Linked DNA regions of Neurospora crassa OR74A. The protein of the gene in region 1 interacts with the protein of each later gene in a biochemical or structural test. Links are inferred from orthologs where the notes say so. Each region holds a gene or a part of one and is shown in the gene's direction. Other genes may lie near its edges.

The links.
Region 2: the proteins of NCU08119 (region 1) and NCU02776 form a complex in vitro, tested with the Saccharomyces cerevisiae proteins (2 studies listed by BioGRID). The link is inferred for Neurospora crassa OR74A from reciprocal best matches to the Saccharomyces cerevisiae genes MCM7 and CDC6.
Region 3: the proteins of NCU08119 (region 1) and NCU04378 form a complex in vitro, tested with the Saccharomyces cerevisiae proteins (6 studies listed by BioGRID). The link is inferred for Neurospora crassa OR74A from reciprocal best matches to the Saccharomyces cerevisiae genes MCM7 and CDC45.
Region 4: the proteins of NCU08119 (region 1) and NCU02631 form a complex in vitro, tested with the Saccharomyces cerevisiae proteins (2 studies listed by BioGRID). The link is inferred for Neurospora crassa OR74A from reciprocal best matches to the Saccharomyces cerevisiae genes MCM7 and PSF1.
Region 5: the proteins of NCU08119 (region 1) and NCU01370 form a complex in vitro, tested with the Saccharomyces cerevisiae proteins (2 studies listed by BioGRID). The link is inferred for Neurospora crassa OR74A from reciprocal best matches to the Saccharomyces cerevisiae genes MCM7 and ORC2.

The regions. Positions count from the first base shown.
Region 1 is NC_026501.1:338,712-342,863, forward strand, and holds the start of NCU08119 (DNA replication licensing factor mcm7), read left to right. Parts: upstream 1-1,347; 5' UTR 1,348-1,453; coding exon 1,454-1,502; intron 1,503-1,637; coding exon 1,638-3,982; intron 3,983-4,152. Other genes in the region: pex1 (peroxisome biosynthesis protein), read right to left, coding at 1-224, 301-417. UniProt on the Saccharomyces cerevisiae protein: Acts as a component of the MCM2-7 complex (MCM complex) which is the putative replicative helicase essential for 'once per cell cycle' DNA replication initiation and elongation in eukaryotic cells.
Region 2 is NC_026501.1:9,228,615-9,232,619, forward strand, and holds NCU02776 (cell division control protein Cdc6), read left to right. Parts: upstream 1-1,196; 5' UTR 1,197-1,343; coding exon 1,344-1,404; intron 1,405-1,467; coding exon 1,468-3,482; 3' UTR 3,483-3,873; downstream 3,874-4,005. Other genes in the region: NCU02777 (molybdenum cofactor sulfurase), read right to left, coding at 1-437, 494-575. UniProt on the Saccharomyces cerevisiae protein: Plays a crucial role in forming the pre-replicative complexes.
Region 3 is NC_026504.1:3,568,030-3,572,243, reverse strand, and holds the start of NCU04378 (DNA replication initiation factor Cdc45), read left to right. Parts: upstream 1-1,411; 5' UTR 1,412-1,769; coding exon 1,770-2,537; intron 2,538-2,589; coding exon 2,590-4,214. UniProt on the Saccharomyces cerevisiae protein: Required for initiation of chromosomal DNA replication. Acts at the origin of replication. Also has a role in minichromosome maintenance.
Region 4 is NC_026501.1:2,993,006-2,996,596, forward strand, and holds NCU02631 (DNA replication complex GINS protein psf-1), read left to right. Parts: upstream 1-1,249; 5' UTR 1,250-1,430; coding exon 1,431-1,463; intron 1,464-1,518; coding exon 1,519-2,042; intron 2,043-2,111; coding exon 2,112-2,205; 3' UTR 2,206-3,079; downstream 3,080-3,591. UniProt on the Saccharomyces cerevisiae protein: Required for DNA replication. Functions as part of the GINS complex which plays an essential role in the initiation of DNA replication by binding to DNA replication origins and facilitating the assembly of the DNA replication machinery.
Region 5 is NC_026505.1:3,801,276-3,805,218, reverse strand, and holds NCU01370 (hypothetical protein), read left to right. Parts: upstream 1-1,194; 5' UTR 1,195-1,321; coding exon 1,322-3,018; intron 3,019-3,102; coding exon 3,103-3,217; 3' UTR 3,218-3,440; downstream 3,441-3,943. Other genes in the region: NCU01371 (UPF0660 protein, variant), read right to left, coding at 145-228, 295-633, 690-923. UniProt on the Saccharomyces cerevisiae protein: Component of the origin recognition complex (ORC) that binds origins of replication. It has a role in both chromosomal replication and mating type transcriptional silencing. Binds to the ARS consensus sequence (ACS) of origins of replication.

The DNA.
Region 1 (4,152 bases):
GTGGTGTCGATCTCGACGAGGGGGATTTCCTGGTCGCGGGACGAAGTCGAGCGTGTCCTGTCGATGCCGTGACTCCCGACCATGGGGTTGACCTTGCGCTTGCTGGGCATGCCGGTCCAGCCTACAAAGATGTTTTTGGTGACCGAGGCGGGGGCGCCTGAAGCGATGGCGTCAGGGGTCGACTGGACGCGGTAGTTGAGCTCGACGATGACATTCTGGGCGGGCTATCCATGAGGGTGGTTCTGTGTCAGCTAGTCTCCAGTGGCATTCCATGGTTCTTCTTCTGACTGGGGGTCTTACCGTGTTGACATTGGAGAGCAGGGAGGCCAGTGACGGTGGCAGGTTGACGAAGCAGTTTTGGAGATGGACCAGGGAGATTTCGGCAGCGGTAGACTGCGCGTTCTTTCTGGGAGCCATGGTGGGTGGCTGCTGTCGTCGTCGTCGTCGTCGTCGTCGTCGTCGTCCGTGTCGACTACTTGTTATGGTGGTGGTGGTGGTGGTGGTGGTGGTGATGATGCTGTCGTCGTGGTGTTTGGCATAGGCGATGATGAGATGACAGATGAAAGGGTCCTGACCGTACCTAGCGAAGGTCACTAGGTAGCTTAGTTGGCTGAGTCGACCTACTAGTCTAACAATTACACCGAACAACGGGAATCCATCCGCCCCATCAATCCCCGGGTTCTTGTTGTCTTGGGCGGAGATCCAGGGGCATGATTGGTGTTGTTTTCAGCTGATTGGGGAGAACCTGGAGCCGCGGCTGGAGCCCGATTGGAGCTTCTCCAGCTGTCCCCAGTTTGCATGTGCCGAGGCACGCCACGACCTGGTACAGGGGGTTTCGGGCATGTCCCAGCGCAGGTACAGCCGCATGGAATTGTTAGGGGAATACATGAGCATCAAGAAGCCATCATGTTGAAGGGAGAAGATATCCGGATGGAAACTGGAGAAAGAGGCCAAATCTGAGGCATTGAAACTGTATAGATGAGTACGAACGTGGGATATGAAGTATAACCTGTTTCCAGCAACTCAATGCCATGAGATGGTACTTCACTTCACACTCTTATGGTTGACATGTTATGAGGCTCAAGTCGATAATCATGTTCCTGGACAACACTGACACGCCTCCTGTATAACTCATTCCTGCCACTCACTGCCACCTGCCAGGGGCATTCTCCAGTGTCTAGAGTAGAGGTAGGGATGCATGTAAGTACCTTGGCCCATTAAAGATTCCTTTGCCGGACCGCGTCTCATCGCGACTCGAACCGCGACAGTGGAGTCAACTGAATGGACAGAGGACCCACTCTTTCATGCTCCTCCATTCAATCAATGTTGACATCCTTCGTCCAACAAAACAAAGTCGAATTCCCCATCGCAACACAACCAAAACAATCCCCAGCCAGACCTTTGACCACACACCGAGTTGCGCCATACTATCCCACCCACCACATCTCTCACCATGGCGCTCCTCAGATACCCCGCCCCCGTCGACTACGACGCGCAAATGTGTAGGTGGTGACTAAATAATTTCAATTACGACGAGGGAAAACTTTGATTTGATGATGGCTTCTCGATCGAAGCGCGGAGGATGGATTGCAAGCAAGAGGCAGGCTGGGCGCTAACCACAACGATTCGAACAACAGCCGCGTTCGAAAACTTTCTCGACGACTTCAAGACCTCGCCCCAAGACTCCATCACCCATGCGCTAGGCAACATCGACATCAACGAGGACGACCTCAGCGACGAGTATGACTTTATGGACGACGACGACGACGACGATGCCCAGCAACAGCGCCGCTCCGAAAGAGCGAGGAGACGCGCCCCCCGCCACAAGTACAAGGAGCTTCTCCAGGAACTGGCCGACCGCAAGATCAACGAGATAGTCATCGACCTGGACGACCTGCAGTCATGGGAGGAGGACGTCAACGAGGGCCTCAAGCTGGTTGAGTCGGTAGAGCGCAACACCAAGCACTACGTCGAGGTGCTCTCGCGCGCCGTCGACAAGCTGATGCCCCAAACCAGCAACGACATCACATTCAAGGACGATGTGCTCGACGTCCTCATGGCCAACCGCCAACAGCGCAACCGCACCCTCACCGAGGCCGCCGAGAACCTGCGCGACCCCGACATGCTCAACGACACATACCCCGCCCAGCTCACCCGCCGCTACACCCTCGTCTTCAAGCCCCGGACCATGACTGCTGATGGGCCCCAAAAAGCCCTGTCGGTCCGCCAAGTGCGCGGCGATCATCTCGGCCACCTGATCACCATCCGCGGTATTGCTACCCGTGTGTCCGACGTCAAGCCCATTGTCCAGGTTGGCGCCTACACGTGCGACCGCTGCGGTTGCGAAATCTTCCAGCCCGTCACCGACAAGCAGTACGCCCCCCTGACTCTCTGCCCATCCAAGGACTGCAAGGAGAACCAGGCCAAAGGTCAGCTGTACCCGTCGTCGCGGGCTTCCAAGTTCCTGCCCTTCCAGGAGATCAAGATCCAGGAACTCGCCGAGCAGGTCCCCATCGGTCAGATTCCCCGTACCCTTACCGTGCTTGCGTACGGCAGTCTGGTCAGAAATGTCCACCCCGGTGACATTGTCGACATCTCGGGAATTTTCCTCCCTACTCCTTATACCGGCTTCAAGGCCATGCGCGCCGGTCTGCTAACCGACACCTACCTCGAGGCCCACCACATTGTCCAGCACAAGAAAGCCTACACCGAGATGCAGATCGACCCCTCCCTGCTCCGCCGTATCGCCAAATTCCAACAGACCGGCAACACGTACGAGTACCTCGCCAAGTCCATCGCCCCCGAAATCTACGGCCACCTCGACGTCAAGAAGGCCCTCCTCCTTTTGTTGGTCGGCGGTGTCACTAAGGAAGTCGGCGACGGCATGAAGATCCGCGGCGACATCAACATCTGCCTGATGGGTGACCCCGGTGTGGCCAAATCGCAACTGCTCAAGTACATCTCCAAGGTAGCCCCGCGCGGCGTGTATACGTCTGGCCGCGGTTCCTCGGGCGTTGGTCTCACCGCCGCCGTAATGCGCGACCCCGTGACAGACGAAATGGTTCTCGAAGGCGGCGCCCTCGTGCTCGCCGACAACGGCATTTGCTGCATCGACGAGTTCGACAAGATGGACGACAACGACCGCACCGCCATCCACGAAGTCATGGAACAACAAACCATCTCCATCTCCAAGGCCGGCATTTCCACCACTCTCAACGCGCGCACCTCCATCCTCGCGGCCGCCAACCCGCTTTACGGGCGGTACAACACCCGTCTCTCGGCCGTCGAGAACATCAACCTCCCCGCCGCTTTACTCTCCCGTTTCGACATCATGTTCCTCCTCCTCGACACGCCCACGCGCGACACGGACGCCCAACTCGCCAAGCACGTCGCCTACGTGCACATGCACAACCGCCACCCCGACATTGGCACGGGCACCGGACCGGATTCATCCGTCTTCTCCCCCGAGGAAGTCCGTGCCTACGTCGCCAAAGCCCGCGAGTACCGCCCCGTCGTCCCGCAAGCAGTCTCCGAATACATGGTGAAAACCTACGTCCGCCTGCGCGCACAGCAGAAACGCGCAGAGAAGAAGAACCAGAACTTTGGCCATACCACGCCGCGTACTTTGCTAGGTGTCGTCCGTCTTGCGCAGGCTTTGGCTCGGCTTAGGTTCAGCAACACCGTCACGCAAGATGATGTTGATGAAGCTCTCCGTCTCGTGGAAGCTAGCAAGGAGTCGTTGGCGCAGGATGATAGGAATACTGGCAATAAGAGGGCAATGAATGCTAGTAGTAGGATTTATAACCTTGTGAAGGGGTTGGCGGATAGTGGAGCGTGCAGACCTGATGATACCCCAGAAGAGGAAGAAGAAGATGAGTTTGGGGTGGAGATGAGTTTGAGAAAGGTCAAGGAACGGGTGATTGCCAAGGGCTTTACGGAGCAGCAGTGGTTGAGTGCGTTGGATGAGTATACTGATTTGGATGTGAGTTTTCTTTTGCCCCCTTTTTTTTACTTTCTCTTCTTTTTTTTTTTTCCTTTCTTTTGTTCCTTTTTCTTTCCTTTTCCCCTTCTAGTCTTTCTTTCCCCTTTCTTTTTTTCCCCTTCTTTTCTTACCCTTTCGTACTTCCATTCTTTCCCCTTTCTGTCTTTTTT
Region 2 (4,005 bases), about 8.9 Mb from region 1:
TGGGTAGGCGAAGAGTATCGGTCGTTCTTCGTCTTCGTTGTCGTCAAAGGGACAGCTCCCAGATAACCAGTCTTCCACCTGCCGAGTGTCCAGACAAACACTACTTCTAGCCTCTTCCCGAACTCCTACCAAGCTGGTATGGCTGGATTGATGGTAGACATAGTCAAAGCCCGTGGGCAGACATCTCATGGCTTCGACAACCAGCTTGATCCCGGCTGTGGCGTTGGCGACAAAGACGAGGTCAAAGTCGGCTGGGTCGGCGTTGAAGAACTGCAGGGCTCGGAGACGGATGTCTTGGATGCGCTGGGTTGACAGTTGGGAGGAAGCTGAGGCGGAGTGGGGGTTGCCAAAGAGGTTGGTGGTCATCTCTTGGGCGAAACGGTCCATGAGGGACTTGGGATAGGGGGTGGTGCCGGCATGGTCGAGGTAGATGGAGTCTGTTTGTTTTGTGTTAGTGGTCTGGTCAAGTTGTTGAAAACGAACTTCAACTTGCCCTTCAGCATAGGATACTCTTCTTCTCTTATCTTTTCCACGTCGGCATCGTAGCCATTGTGCTGTATGTTTAACGAACCCATCTTGGAGAACAATCAAGTATCACCAAGTCCATTAAATGACAACCGGTCAACCGAGTTTGATATTTCTGTGAGATCTCTGGGCTATCGACATGGACATCTGAACAGACACTGAGGTGGATGACTTGTCATTGCCACTTGTGGTCATGATACTTGTCGATAAACACAAGCAAAGGCACCTACGGTAGTGGCGTCGGGTATTGGAGGTTTAGTTTTCTTATACGTACCGATTCGGGAGGTCCAACGGGACGGAGATCGCCACTTTCCAGCACAGCAAAGTGAAACACAGGCGGCGGTCTCCCTGCTTCAGTGGAGGGCTCCCCTGGAATGCCCCTGTGGACACTGTGAGAATAGTGCGGGGAAGTGGATACGGATCTGGAAGAGGCCCCGCTTTGACACAAGGCACGCGCCACGAAACGAACCCTCCCTAGCCACAGTCTGTGTGGCTCATGCGCAACGGGGCTTAATTGAAACGCGCAGTGCAGCGGGGAAGCCGCGTCGAGCACCGAGCTGCAGCCCCACAAATTCGCGGTCGCGTCTCCGCAATGTGGAAGTGGAATGTGCCAGGGGTGGCAGCGCGCGAACTGGAATTCTACTTTGGTGCAGTGCGACTGGGACTGAGTGCGCAAGGTTCCTCTTTCCACCTTACAACCACACAACCACGCAAGTCCATCACCACCATCAACATCCGCGCATCGTTCTTTCCACGCGATTGCCGCTTGTCATTGTGATTGTGCATTGCGACTGGTGTTTTAGACTTGACAAAAAATCATGGCCTCACCTAGCGCACCCACGACTCTGGGAAAGAGGAGAAGGAGCACCAGACTCACAGGTGAGCAGCTGCAACTGACAACGACATTCAAGAGTTGCCATCGACATACTGACAGACCACAAGACGAGGAAATCACACTAGGCCCTCTTGCCGTAAAGCGAACAAGACGCTCTCTCCGAATCCACCCAGAGATCCACCATGAGCCCGACCACATCCAAGCAGAGAAGGAGAAGGCCGCCTCACCACCCAAGCCAACTGCCGACGAGGACGTTGAGAACCACAAGGAAAACCGCAAGCCCACAGGAGACGAGGACGAGGACAGAAAGGAGGCCGAAACACCAGCCAAGTCACTTCTCAGAAGGCGCAAATCAGTCATCGCCAGCCCGCCAAAGACAGCTCCCGTCACACCTTCCACACCACGACACTACGATGTCTTTGCAAGAGTACCAGTCACCACTCCGCGCCATCGCGTCATGTCCGTTGGCAAGCTCTCCAGGCGCATGACACCAAGCACGCCCATGACACCCGCCGCTTCTCAGACAGTCTACCATCAAGCTCGCCAACTCTTTTCTCGAAGCGCCGATCCTGGAGAGCTCATTGGACGCGACGACGAGCGCGAGAAGCTCAACACTTTCCTGGATTGCTGCACCACTGCCCATCCCAGCGGCTGCCTCTACGTCAGCGGACCTCCTGGAACCGGAAAGAGCGCCATCGTCAACAAGGTCACCGACAAGTTCGCATCCGAGACATCAACAGTGCGCAAGGCTTACATCAACTGCATGAGCATCAAGTCGTCCAAGGATCTCTACGTCACCCTTCTCGACCAGCTAGTCAGCAAAGATGAAGACAAGGAGGAACTCTCAACCGAAAGCGACGTGGTGGCAGCTCTCCAAAAGCTCATCCTGCCCAGGAAAAAGACCCAGGACGTCTTCCTCGTGGTGTTGGACGAAATCGACCACATCCTCACCCTCGACCCTGAAAGTCTCTACAGCCTCTTCGAATGGTCACTCGAAAAGAAGAACTCGCGCCTCGCCCTGATCGGCATTGCCAACGCGCTCGACCTCACCGACCGTTTCCTGCCGCGCCTCAAGTCGCGCAACCTCAAGCCTGAGCTTCTGCCCATCCTTCCATACACGGCGCCTCAGGTCAAGAACATCATCATCACACGTCTCAAGAGCCTGCTTCCTGGTGGAACACCCAAGGACCCCAACTACATACCCTTCTTCCACCCAGCCGCCATCGAGCTCTGCTCGCGCAAAGTCTCCAGCCAAACCGGCGACCTGCGCCGCGCCTTCGAGATCTGCCGCCGCGCCATCGACCTGGTCGAGTCGGAGACCCGTCTGAAGCACGAAAACGAAGTCAAGGAGCAGATGCTACAAATGTCTCCCTCCAAGAAGCGCGTCCTAGGCGAAAACACCAACCTCTCCTCGGCTCCTGCGCCTTCCTCTCTCTTCCGGAGCATCTCCACTGGACCCAGCGCCAGCGTCTCGGCCTCTTTACTCAAATCTCTGCAAGCCTTGACGCCCGCCACCGCTCCGCGCGTCAGCATCGCCGACCTCAGCAAAGTCACAGCCGCAGCATTCAGCAACGGCACCACTCAGCGTCTCAAGACGCTCAACCTCCAGCAGAAAGCCGCTCTGTGCGCTCTGGTCGCCATCGAGAAACGTAACCGCGCCGCGCAGTCGGAGGCTCTTAACTCTGCTTCAGCCAGTTTTGCATCCACTACCGGCACTCCGTCGAGGAAACAAGAGGCGCCAATTGCCCCGACAGTCAAGACTCTCTTTGAAGCTTACACCAAGCTCTGCAAACAGGACTCGCTGCTTCATCCGCTTTCGTCATCTGAGTTTCGCGAGGTGGTGTCTTCCTTGGAAACTCTCAGTTTGATCACGCCAGTGGACGGCAAGACGGGATCGTTTACTGCCTTGGGGTATAGCTCGCCTGGAGTGGGGACACCGAAGCGGGGAGGCAAGAAGAAGAAGGATGTGTTTGGGATGGGAGGCGCGTTGGTGGCGGGAGATGAGAAGAGGGTGGCTAGCTGTGTGGGGGAGAGGGAGGTCGAGCAGACTTTGCTGAAGGATGATGGGGCGGGAGTGGGGATTTTGAGGGGGATCTTGAGTGGAGAGGCGTTGGATGATTGATTGATTGTGTTTGGGATAGTATTGCAAAGTTGCTGATGATTTGGACGAGTCGGGTTTCATGAGTAGGTTGTTTTGCGTTGTTGGAGAAGGAAGCATTGTTGAGAAGTACGGACGGAGCATGGCATGGCGTGTTTGAGAGAGCATTCAAAAGTATATCATAGGGAAGGTGTTTGGATTCGTTGTAACCCAGGACAAGGGTTGGTGTTTGGCGTTTGGGTATTTGTTTGGTTTTGCGTACTTGTTTGCATTGAAGACAAAAATGGGGAGCAGGGGCACAAAAGTCCTCATCATCGGCATTAGTACCTATCCATTACATAGACCTGCCGTCGTACGTACATAGACAGACACACATTGATACACACCAAAAAATGAAGACACTTTACAAAAACCACTTTTTGACATCCATCCATCCATCCATCCATCCATCCATCCATCCATCCATCCATCCATCCATCCATCCGTCCCTTCCGGTCTTATTAGATAGGTAAAGGTAGATGTGAACAGCTCAGGAACCAAAACAATA
Region 3 (4,214 bases), on another chromosome or scaffold:
TACTACACGGTAGACGCACCCCAGGGCAACTTACAAACCACAAGTGTTTTGAGAAGCGTGTCGATCACCTCGTTGCTGGGCCCAACCATCAGTCAGTTCCTCTGAACAGCCTCCTTCCTGCTTTGGTCAGTGAAGGCAGAGGAGCGGTCAGGTTGACCGTAGAAAAGCGTGGGCCGCAAGAGTGGCCGCCGTCGTGGCTGGCTTGGCAGGCCGGCTGGCTACTGTAGTAGCACGGATGGAGTGAAATTGAGACTGTCGCCGACGAGACGGGGCGTGGTGTGGGTGTCGTGGTGGATGGCCAGTGTTGTGAGTGGTGTCTGGTGTGCGGCAGTTGTTGTGTTGTGATCCAAGCAATGATGGAAATGTGGATTGACAAAAGAGGGACCAAACTAAACAGAGGAAGAGAAGCGAAGATGGAAGCTGGATTATAGGTCGAATCGGAAATCCGGAGACGCTGATCCGGAATCCAGGATTGGAAAGCACATCGTTAGATGGTCCCTTCCTGTGCTAGGTATTGTACTTCAATCCGCACTCTGCAATTTCGGAATAGTTCATCATCCCCGGTCCGTTCCTTCACCGCGGACCTTTCTGTGGGACATCGATGCCTGTCTGGACACCTACCTATGCTATGGTAGGAGATGGAGTGGAAAGAGCACAGCTGGTCACCCAGGTTGATAAATTAGTTCAGTTCCAGCTGTTGGGCAGCCCCACGGTGACAGTGTTCTCAGATGATTCCACGGCAACTAAAGAGTTCACTAAAATCCAGGGACATCGGCCGGCAGAAATTCTCGTGAAATTCCACGTTCGACCAGGTGGACAAGTTGCAGAAGTGGAAGCTTCTATCGCATTGCTGTCGTGCAGGAACCTTACTGGCCGTTGTTCCGTTGTCCTCTGGGCAGGCATTTGCCGGGCTATGATGTACCTACCTGGTTTACCTTATTACCTACCTACTTACTGTACCAATGCCCGTGCTTCGGTCGAGGGATGGCCGCCCCGGGGTGCCCCTGTGGCCTTGGCTGTCAGCAGCTGCCCTGGGCAATTCCACTTCGCGTTGTACCCCGCCATTTCTTGATATACTACTGTACGCAGTAGGTAGGTAGGTACTTTACCCAGCTCTACAATAGGTACCTCCCGTCTTGCCTGCCCAAAACCCAAAGCCCCACTACAAGTACGTAGAGGTACCTCTAGGTACAAGCAAACTGGTCGCTCCGGCCGCGTCCTTTCACTGCACGCTTTGTGCTGACGCCCCCCCTGCAGTCCACTGCAGTGGTTGATATCTAAGTAATGCACGCTGTGCCCGCCCTGGCACAAAACCACTTTCACAGAGTCGCGTCTCGAAGCGCGTCCGAAGCGCAGCGCTGGTTGGCCGCCCTTCCATGTCAATTAAAGGATCCTGGCCAACATCAACAAAGGAACACTCCTATCAACACCATCATCCCTCGCCCGAATTATTGTCGACCGCGACAACACTATCCGACTGACGTGCATCGCCATCACACCAGTATTTTTTTGCCATCGTATATTTCAAGCTACATAGTCCAGAGCAGAAAGCTCTTAACGCGGGGCAGGCCGCGTCGCGCATCCCCCGTCGGTTTTTTTTCTGCCCAGTGAACAGAGTTCGAAGTTAGTTACCTCGAGTAAACTACAACTGAAGTGTTCCACGCCGGCGAATATCCCACGACGACGTCGCCTCGCCGCCCCGCCTCGACAATCCGTCCCCAGCCGATTTCCCTCGCTGATCCACCCTCGATACCGATTCTCCCTTCGCAATGTATCTCCCTCGACAGCTTATATCAAAACTCTACCTCCACTTGCAAAATACCCGCCATCCACTATCGCCGCCCGTCCTCATCTTGGTCGCTCTCGAAACCGATGCGCTATGTGCCTGCCGTATCCTAACCCAACTTCTCAAACATGACTATATTCCGCACAAGATCCAGCCAGTCGCTGGCTACTCCGACCTCGAACGTGCCGGCACTGAGCTCGTCAGCCCCATGATGGAGACCCGTGGTGGTGCTGGAGGAGTCGTCGTATGCTTGGGAGTGGGTGGTATGGTTGACCTCGGCACAGTTTTGGGACTTGAGCCCGAGGGCGAAGAAAATACCTTTGGGGGTGTAGAGGTGTGGGTGATCGACTCCCATCGCCCGTGGAACTTGGGCAACGTTTTCGGCGGCTTTCCCCTCGAACCAGAGACGCAAGAGGCCAGGACATTCTCTGCGCGAACCCCCATTGGTGTCAATGGCGGCCGGATAGAGCGAGCATACAAACCAGGCAAAGGCGGCATCATTGTCATGGATGACGGCGACATTGAAGATGAGCTCTCCAAGGAACGAGATGCGTATCTGGCGCTAGTGGATATGCCCGAAATCGAAGATGATGGCCGAGACTTGGGCGACAGTGATGAAGACGAAAGCGAGAACGAGGAAGACACGGGCGATACATCGGTTGTTGCAGGCAGAAAGAGGAAATCATGGTCGGACTTCGACGAGGACGATGATGAAGACGACCGACCCAGACAGCGACGAAGAAGCAATTCGGTGAGTACATTCCGATTTCTTCATAGTAATACATCTCTCATGCCAGATACAGTCGAGTCCAATTCCAGATTCGCCTCGACGACCGCAACACCGTGGTCTCATATCTCTACGCGACGATGCCCTATTTTCCAGTGACGCGCTGGAAGCTCCGCCTGCTGCACAACCACCCAGAGGCCCTTCAGCCAACACCCTCCGACGGAGATTGCTACGACTACGACGAGAAAACGAGGGAGTTTTGCGCGAGTACTACCGACTGGGTACATCATATTCGGAGCCCATCTCGTCCATGATGTACTCCCTTGCGTCAGAACTGGGTCGTGAAGACAACGACCTGCTATGGTTAGCGATCGTTGGGGTCACGTCGATGGAGCTGTACGGCCGCTCATCTGCCGGTATTGCGGTAGCAGCTCGCAGGTCAGACGCCCGCATTTCCGGTTGGCTCGGCATGCGTGGTGCGAGAATACGGCAGCTTCTGCGAGACGAGGTCAGACGTCTCAACCCACCAGAGATAGGAAACGGCCGGGTGCTCCCCGAGACGACAGGAATTATCCCAACAACCGCTCGAAGTCCGGAGGATACCAGTATCAGGTTGTCGCCGGAGCCCAAGTTCCTGCTTATTAGGCACTGGAGTTTATACGACAGCATGCTTCACTCACCCTACCTCTTCTCTCGGCTAAAGACGTGGAGCGAGGCTGGCATGAAGCGATTACACAAGCTTCTCGCCAAGATGGGTGTCAGTCTGGTGCAGTGCAAGCAGAGTTATGCCCACATGGACATGATGTTGAAGCGCGAACTTCGCACCAAACTACTAAAATACGCGTCTCTCTACAACCTCGACGAACTTGTCCCGACCATAGACACGGACGGGAAAGATCGTGGAGGTGCCAAAGATGGATGGGGCTTTGTACGCAGTTGGGGTTGGAGGGCAACCCTGAGTGCGCAAGATGTCGGTGTCGTAGTCGGAGCCCTGTTGGAAGTGGGGAAGAACACCACTAGTGCTGATGACCTTCCTGCTGGCCCATCTCAGGATCTTCTCGACGTAGACAACAACCAGAGCCAAAGTGAGGAGTGGATCCCCAGGTTCTGGGAGGCGTATGATGCGCTGGAGGACATCGAGGCCCTTAAGGCTGGCCTTCCCACGGCGCAGTATCTACACAAGGCCATCTTCACCACTGGCACGACAATTTTGAAGAAGAAACAAATATCTCATCTGCGCGCATTTCGCATGTGCGTGGTCAAGGACTCACCAGATGCGACACTCTTCAACCACCCCGGCGCTTTGACCAAGCTAGCGCTCTGGATCGGTGAAGCACTCGCGGAACAGGAAAAAGAAGCCACTGGCGGGAGGCTCGCCCATGGCGGTCGTGGCACACCTCTCGTAGTGGCTAGTCTAGATGACAAGCGCGGAGTGTATGTTGTCGTCGGTACTGGTGGCGGCGGTGGGCCAGACACAAAGTTTCTCGATCGTGAATCGGCCAAGAAGCGAGCCGAAGAAAAAGAGGCCAAAGCTAAAGCCAAGGAGATGCAGAGAAGGATCAAGGAAAAGATCAAGGCCGAGAAGAAGGAGGCCAAGAGAAAGGAAAAAGAAGAGAAAAAGAAAGCCAAGTCCGACGCCGGCGGCGATGAGGACGAGGAGGAGGACAACGAGGAAGATAGTGACGACGACTCGGATCTCTC
Region 4 (3,591 bases), about 2.7 Mb from region 1:
ACTTCCAGTGGCACTGACGCCGTGAAGCTGGGGGAGAGCTTAGGTACCTACCTACATACAGGGCAGTACTTAGCTCCTTATCTTATCGGAGCTTCCATGTAGGTCCCGTCTTCACGATGGAGTCTTCGGTCAGTTCGGTGGGTTCCTGTGCCTGGTCTGTGCACTGTCTGTATTTAATGGCCAGGAAATTTTTCGCTGTGTGAAATTCTCCCCGTTTTGGTTCTTCGTGTGCAACCGCCGCGTTTGAACAGCGCCATTGTGGGAGACATCAGAGAGAATGGCTCCAAATTGCTAAAAGCTGGCAATGCCAGAAGTACGCCGCGTCGGTGTCTGTCATTAGTGTAAGTTCTAGCACCTTGTTTGATATTCTCCTTCCCTACTCCTCCGTTACCGGTACTCCCACGCCCATCCCGTGATGATCGAATTGGTCCGTGTTACCAAGCAGACTTAAGACCTCTGCAGATGACGACGAAACCAGCATTTATGCGACTCTGACCCTTTTGGCATCTCATTCAACTTGGAATATTGCTTCTTTTTCGCAGCTCTTGAGCTAACTCATGAATCGTAGTTGTTGTATCTTTGCGCATGCCGAGTGCTTGTCCAATGGAGCAGCCCATCTGAAGTTGGAATTTGGCAACCCTACGGAGCCTAGTGTAGTCTTTCCTCGTCACCATTACCGATTGTCCGGTGCGTTATGGGCGGGTGGGAGTATCAAGGTGGTCCGAGAAGGTTGCTGGTTTCAACAGTTGATAGATTATATCGTGTTTGCTTAGCAATAGTTTATTGAATATTTCTTAACTGTTCAAGGGCTTAATGCTAGTAACTTTTGGACGTAGGGGCATGTAGAATGTGTGCACCATGTGCGAAGGCACTCCGATTCTTCACATGTATCTCTGAACTGGTATCGGCTTCAGGAAATGAGACGTTCGTTTCAAAGGTACGGTGGCCTGTACTGCGGCCTTTGCCCATGAGAAGAAGCATCACCCTTCAACTACCTCTGTACGTCTTGCTTTATGAATATCCCTATTCTTGTCGCCGACGTTAGTGAATGCCCTGACTGCACGTATGCCTTGGGACACGCCGTATGCAGCTGGTTGAGAGGGAATGGGACGAAGAAAATGTTCGGATACACGTACCTCTACTGCGTATTCTGCTTCGGGTTAGGGCTGTCCGAGGACTTTTGATGCCCACCCCGCGTTCAAGTGCAGTGCTTAGACCATCTTGTAGCGCCTATCTGCCTAACAACGCTTGATATGCTAGTGGCCATAGAACGGTTTCACATCCAGACGGAACCTCGAACTTCACCCGCCTGGCTGTTCGAGAAAACGACGCGACGTGAGACGCGTCAGAAAATAGACACATAGTCAATTCCACTATCACACCTTTCAGCTTCGAACTGTCCAAAGAGGCACTTAAGCCACGTCGAAAACATGCCCATGTACGGTGACTTGGGTAACAAACTGGTTTGTGCAAGCTCACTGCATCCTCCCTGGATACGAACACTCACACCATCACCAGGTCCAGCATGCCAAGAGGACACAGAACTTGAGCCATCTTCCACCTTATCAGACCGAGCTTGTCCGTGCAGTGGCCCGAGAAATCCGGGATCTTGACAAAGACGTCGCCAGTTTACTTGAACCTTTCCAGGGGTCATTTGATCCTTCCGCCGAACAGGCCACCGCGTGCACGCTGCTGGTCAACCACCTTTCAATGCGAAGGAACAAGCGCTGTCTGCTCGCCTATCACCGAATCCGAACAGACAAGCTCGAGGAGCTGGTGTGGAATGGAGCCGATATCCTCGACCTTGCCGGCCAGACGACAGGAGGGCCCAAGGGCGTGACGGAGGGCAATGAAGGGGGCGGGACCACCAGCAGTCTTAGTCCCCAGGAAGAGGATTATTTTCGACAGTTTGGAGATTTGTTGGCCCTCTACAAAGGCCAATGGACGGATATCGATCTCACAGGCAGTCTCGAACCCCCACGAGACCTTTTTATCGACGTCCGAGTGTTGAAGGATGCGGGCGAGATCCAAACCGAATATGGGTAAGCTACGCTACAGATGGAGGAATAGATGATGGCTTTGGTTCCACGCTAACTAACGCATGTCTAAAGGGCGATCAACCTGACAAAGAACAGTCAATTCTATGTCCGGCAAGGAGATGTGGAGCGTCTGATTGTGCAGGGATATTTGCAAAAGCTGGGTTGAACAATATCGACCTGGCATCGATGATTTGAGACCGGAGCTTGTTGCTGCAGACCAGCAATGGAAAACTGCTATCGGCAGCGGTTGCCGACAGGTTGACAGACCCCTCGCTCTTTCCTGACCATTGACGGCGTGGCGCCTTCCGAACAGTACCGGAGAGGGAGTGACGGACTCAATGGCTTCGACCAGAAGCCATATGCAATGGTCATTGATCAGCAGCTAGATGTTGGAGGGAGCGCAAAGGACCGACTCAAAAGGGTTGCGCCGCACACACAGAGCTGACCAGTCCTTGTACTACGACGACGGCCAAAGGTGACTTCAACCAAATATTTTGAGTCTCTGTGGGGCAAGGAGTTACCATCTACTTTTTCTCAATGGCTGGACCATTGATGAAGGTTTGAGAAGTGCTTGCATCGACAAGGGACCATGAGCCCACAACCAGACGGTAGCACAGTTTGTAAGTTGCGGGAAGGATGAGGGAAAGGTTACTTTGACGGCCAGACCATTGATTCAGGAACCCACACGGAATTGCCGCGGTGGACGACGGCCGAACGTCGAGGCTGGAGTGACAGCCAGCAAGGGGTTTCACAAGGCCCTTCAAATTTTTTCACCAACCAGTGGCCAAGTTTTCTGGCATGGCAACACTGTGTTTGTGGCGGCTGATAACATCCTTTTTTCAGTATATTGTTTCGTTGATGGCAGATACTGAGAATCAACCCGAGTAAAGAGAAGAGGTACTGACTAGTCCTTGATTTGTCAAACTACAGCTAATAGGGCCCATCTGAAGAAGGCGATAAGAACAGTCATAGGGTTATGTAAACTTTTGACCGTTATTGCCGTGTGCTCGCTGTCAGTCTGTCACACGTGGAGCTGAATGATAGTTACTGGGGTGCAGTGTTCAATTTCAAAAAAGAGAAACCAATTCGCACTGGGAAGGCTGCTTGGTGGAACAAGGATTACATCATGCAGATGACGCCTTTCCCTTCCACGGCCTCAACCCCACCATGGCCAGCTAAAACAACAGGTCCAGGCCATCCAGCAACTGCTAGGTAGTATCATTGGCTTTCAACTGATCAATTGAGACCATATCAGTTCTTGTTCAGTCTTCCTCCGGCGCTAGGTACGATAGACGCTACGACGCACGACGGGACAACATGGAAACCCCGAACCGTCGAAGCTTATGTACATACTAGTCATCAGATATCCCGCCCGACGAAGTCTTTGCAGGCGGGGCCAAAGAGTTCCGGCCGGATGCAGCATGGCGCGGTCGGTGCTTCTTGTATGTTGCTGTCGACAAGATTGCTCCATAGAATTTTGCTTCTCACCACCGGCCTGTACTCCTCGAATCGCCTCCAGCCGAGGACGGACCTTCTACGATAGCTCGGCCTG
Region 5 (3,943 bases), on another chromosome or scaffold:
AGGAGAACAACGACGTCGGAACAATTAAAGAGAATGGGGCACAGATGCGAAAGAAAAGAAGAACCCACCTCAGCTACTGGGGATATGCAGAAAACATACATTACTACACGCTGTCTTCTTTCCCTGGAGAAGCACAAAATGCAGTTACTCAAAGGGGCTCACTGGCTCAGGAGCGGTATAACCACGGGATACAAGGAAGGGCGCAACAGTCCTCTCAACTCTCGACCACTATCATATCCCAGTCAGCAAAAGACTTTGGCTTATCACGCAGCTTGGTTGCAGGGTTTCACTTACGATGCTCTTCTGCTGGTGGGGAACAACTCCATCCTTGATCCAAATACCATAGCTGCCCATCATGTTGGCAAGCATCATGTCAGTGGCCAGTCGGTCTCCCACGACGGCGATCTGGTGAGGACTGGTGACACCGGTTTCCGGGTGGGCACGGAAGTAGGACATGATCTCGTCTCCACAGCCTGGCTTTTTCACACCATGGGGGAGAACAGTGATGCCGGTGGCCTTTTCAACTGCGGATGCCATCTGGCCGTCCTTGTCCCAGCTTAGGGCACCAGCAGTGTTGGAAACGATCAGAAGACGGCGTCCTGGGTATGCTGCTCGTAGAGCCTCCATGCGTTCCTTGGCTTAATCAGTCAAAGCGTTCCTGAATGGAATTGGGACGAGAGACAACCCACCTTGTAAGCCTCATACACTTCATTGTGATCAGGATAGGCAAAGCAGTCATCTTTGTCGAGCACGACAGCCTTTATGTCAACCTTCTTCTCGCCATTGCCGGAGAAGGCTTTGTTAAGAGGGATGGGCAGGTCGTTGAACGTTGGAACTGTAGCGTGGGGCAGACATAGTGAAGGCTTGGCGATAAGCTTGAAAATGTTCAATGAGGCAGACAAATTGAGATTGAGCTTTGACATATTGGTCGCGATAGTCCTCTTGGAGTTTGTTTGGTTGAGATGACATGAGGTTGCAAGAAAGCCTATGAACTCTCCCACCTATAACCCTCCCGCGAAGTACCTAGAGGTAGCGTATGTGGTGGTAGACAGGGGCTTGGCTTGCCCCCGTTAGTAGGCAGCGAACCCTGCTACCCGCAGGTACTCTCTAGCAGGTACCTGCTGTCTTCCCATCTAGAGGTAGGTAGCGTCATCCCGGGCGTATGTACAGCTTAACGCGTCTCAATTAAGCGAGCGCGTCTTGACTTTACAAAAGTTTCCCGTAGACTTCGAATTGCAGAGGTAGGGTAAAGGTACAGCGGGACTCCAAGGCATGCCATACAACTTGGACAACATAAACCAAAGCCAATAACACAAACGGTATGCCTCCTCGTCGGAAATCAACAGATCAGCACGATCTAGTCGAACGCCCCTCTCGAAAGCGGCCACTCCCTGCCGACCCCTACGAAGTTCCAGATGAGGATGATGCGGTTCCCTCCGCAAAGCGTCAACGGCGACAACCAGAAGATGGAGGAACACCTTCAAAGCGAAACGCCACCCCGCGGAAACAGGTCGATTTCCTCCAGCGCGACCTAGCCTCTGTGCCAGAAGAACCCGAGTCACCTACCGAGCAGACACCCAGCAAGAAAAGGATAGGGCGACCACCGAAGGCCAAGACGGGAGGAACACCAAGTGGCAAGCCGAGCACACCATCCGCCCTGCGCAAGAAACAAGTCGACGAGACACCGATCAAGCTCAAAGGAATCAGTGGCGTCGACACACCCGGCAGGCGAGGAATTGCCGACCGATCGGCTAGACGGAAGAGTGCCAGGGCTCTCATCGACCGTGTGCTGGAGGGCGCCGTAAGCGATGACGAGGACGAAGAGCAACAAATCGCACGAGAGATCTACGAGTCAAGCGAGGAAGAAGAGGAAGGGGACACCCAACAAGAAAACCTCGCCGACCAAGAGGCCGAGTTAGCAGCAACCACTCCATCCAAGACAGGGAGGGGGAGAGGACGAGGAGGCAGACCCCCCGGTTTAGCACGACGAAAGAAATCGCCCACACCACCCCGAGACCTCCCTCCCCATGAACAATACTTTTACCAGAACAAGCCGGGATCCAACAAAACCTCGAACAACACGCTCTCCTCGCTCGACCTCCTCATCCACGAAGAATACTTCTCGCTTCTCCGCAACCTGGGTCAGGACCCCCACGAAAAACATATCGATGCCCTCCAGTCGCAACACGCCGCCTCCTTCCCCCAATGGGCCTTTGAGCTCTCCCAAGGCTTCAGCGTCTGCCTCTACGGCTACGGCTCCAAGCGTCGACTTTTGCACCAATTCGCCGAGTACCTCTTCTCCTCCTCCGGCGGTAATGACACAAACAACACAACAATCATCATGATCAACGGGCACACCCGCACCCTCACCTTCCGCGAGATCCTCACCACCATCTCGGCCGCCATCGACCCCACCTTCCGCCTACCCTCCGGAAACCCGCTCGCCATGATCCAAAACCTCTTCACCCTCCTCTCCTCTTTTGCTCAAAAGCCAAGAATCACCCTCCTCCTAGCCTCCCTCGACTCCCCCTTCTCCCCCCTCCGCAAACCCCAAACGCAATCCCTCCTCGCCCATCTCTCCTCACACCCAGCCATCTCTCTCGCTTGCACAGTCGACACGCCCGACTTCCCTCTGCTCTGGGACTCTAGCTTACGCTCCTCGTTCAACTTTGCATTTCACGACTGCACCACTTTTGCAGACCACAGCAAAGAGTTGGACGTAGTAGACGAAGTACACGAGTTACTGGGTAGGATGGGCAAGAGAGCGGGTGGCAAGGAAGGAGTGGCGTTTGTGTTGCGGAGTTTACCCGAGAACGCGAGGAAATTGTTTGGGCTGATTGTGGGGGAGGTTTTGGTGGCTTTTGAGGACGGTGGTGGTGGTGGTGGTGGTACATCAGGGGCAGGAGACTTTGCAGCGGGAGGAGAAGGGCCGGGGGTAGAGTATAGGATGCTTTACAACAAGGCTGTGGAGGAGTTTATTTGCAGTTCGGAAATGGCGTTTAGGACGCTGCTAAAGGAGTATGTTCTTCCCTCTGTTGTGACTTGGCTGTGGAGATGATTTTCTTGGTTTTAAAGGGACAACGGCTAACAGAACGGAAACAGATTCCACGATCATCAAATCATTACGAGTCACAAGGACTCGATAGGGACGGAATACTTGAGCTTACCTTTTAGGAAAGAGGAGCTGGAGTCTATCCTGGAGGAGTTGATGTCGTAGTGATGATTGACGACGATGTATCATGACAATGCTAAGTTTTGAATCGAGATGAATGGGACACACACAGATTTGACCTGGAAGTTATCATACACACGGCAACACCCACCACATGTGTTGGAATGGAAGCCTACACATCATATCATAGTCTTAACATATCCAAAATCCTGGAAAGCTCACCGCAGAACATCAATAGCTCAAGTCTTACGATAATTACAAAGTCGAAAATGTATACTTGCCACTTCGATGTTTTGCTTGTCATGCCATGCTCTCATGATAGGTACTCGATTACCGAAAGGACCTAGTCCACTACTTTGTTTGGCCACACACACACACACACACACACACACACATCGAATCACGAGTCATCGAGCACAAAAGACATCAAGAGTATAACGAAGTTGAAATGTTTTTGATTGGATTCCTCAGTTCAGACAATTCCGTCTCGCGCGCCACGGATGCCAAGGAGACAAAAACAAGCAGCCGCCATGTCCGGGGAACTTTTCCCAAATGCCCGAGCTTCGATCTTGGTTCAACCGTATAAACCAAGCCCAAATCCCAAACTATGTCCAGGGAAAAAACAAACATTGTGCAAAAGAACACCTCCCCTTCCCAGGCCTCTGCCCGTTTAACACTCTCCTTTTTGATTAGCCCATTCGCAGATGCCCTTTTAAGCTTTTGCCCCGTGCCCGTTCAAACCCAATTAAGAACCCAAGAAGGACGCACTTT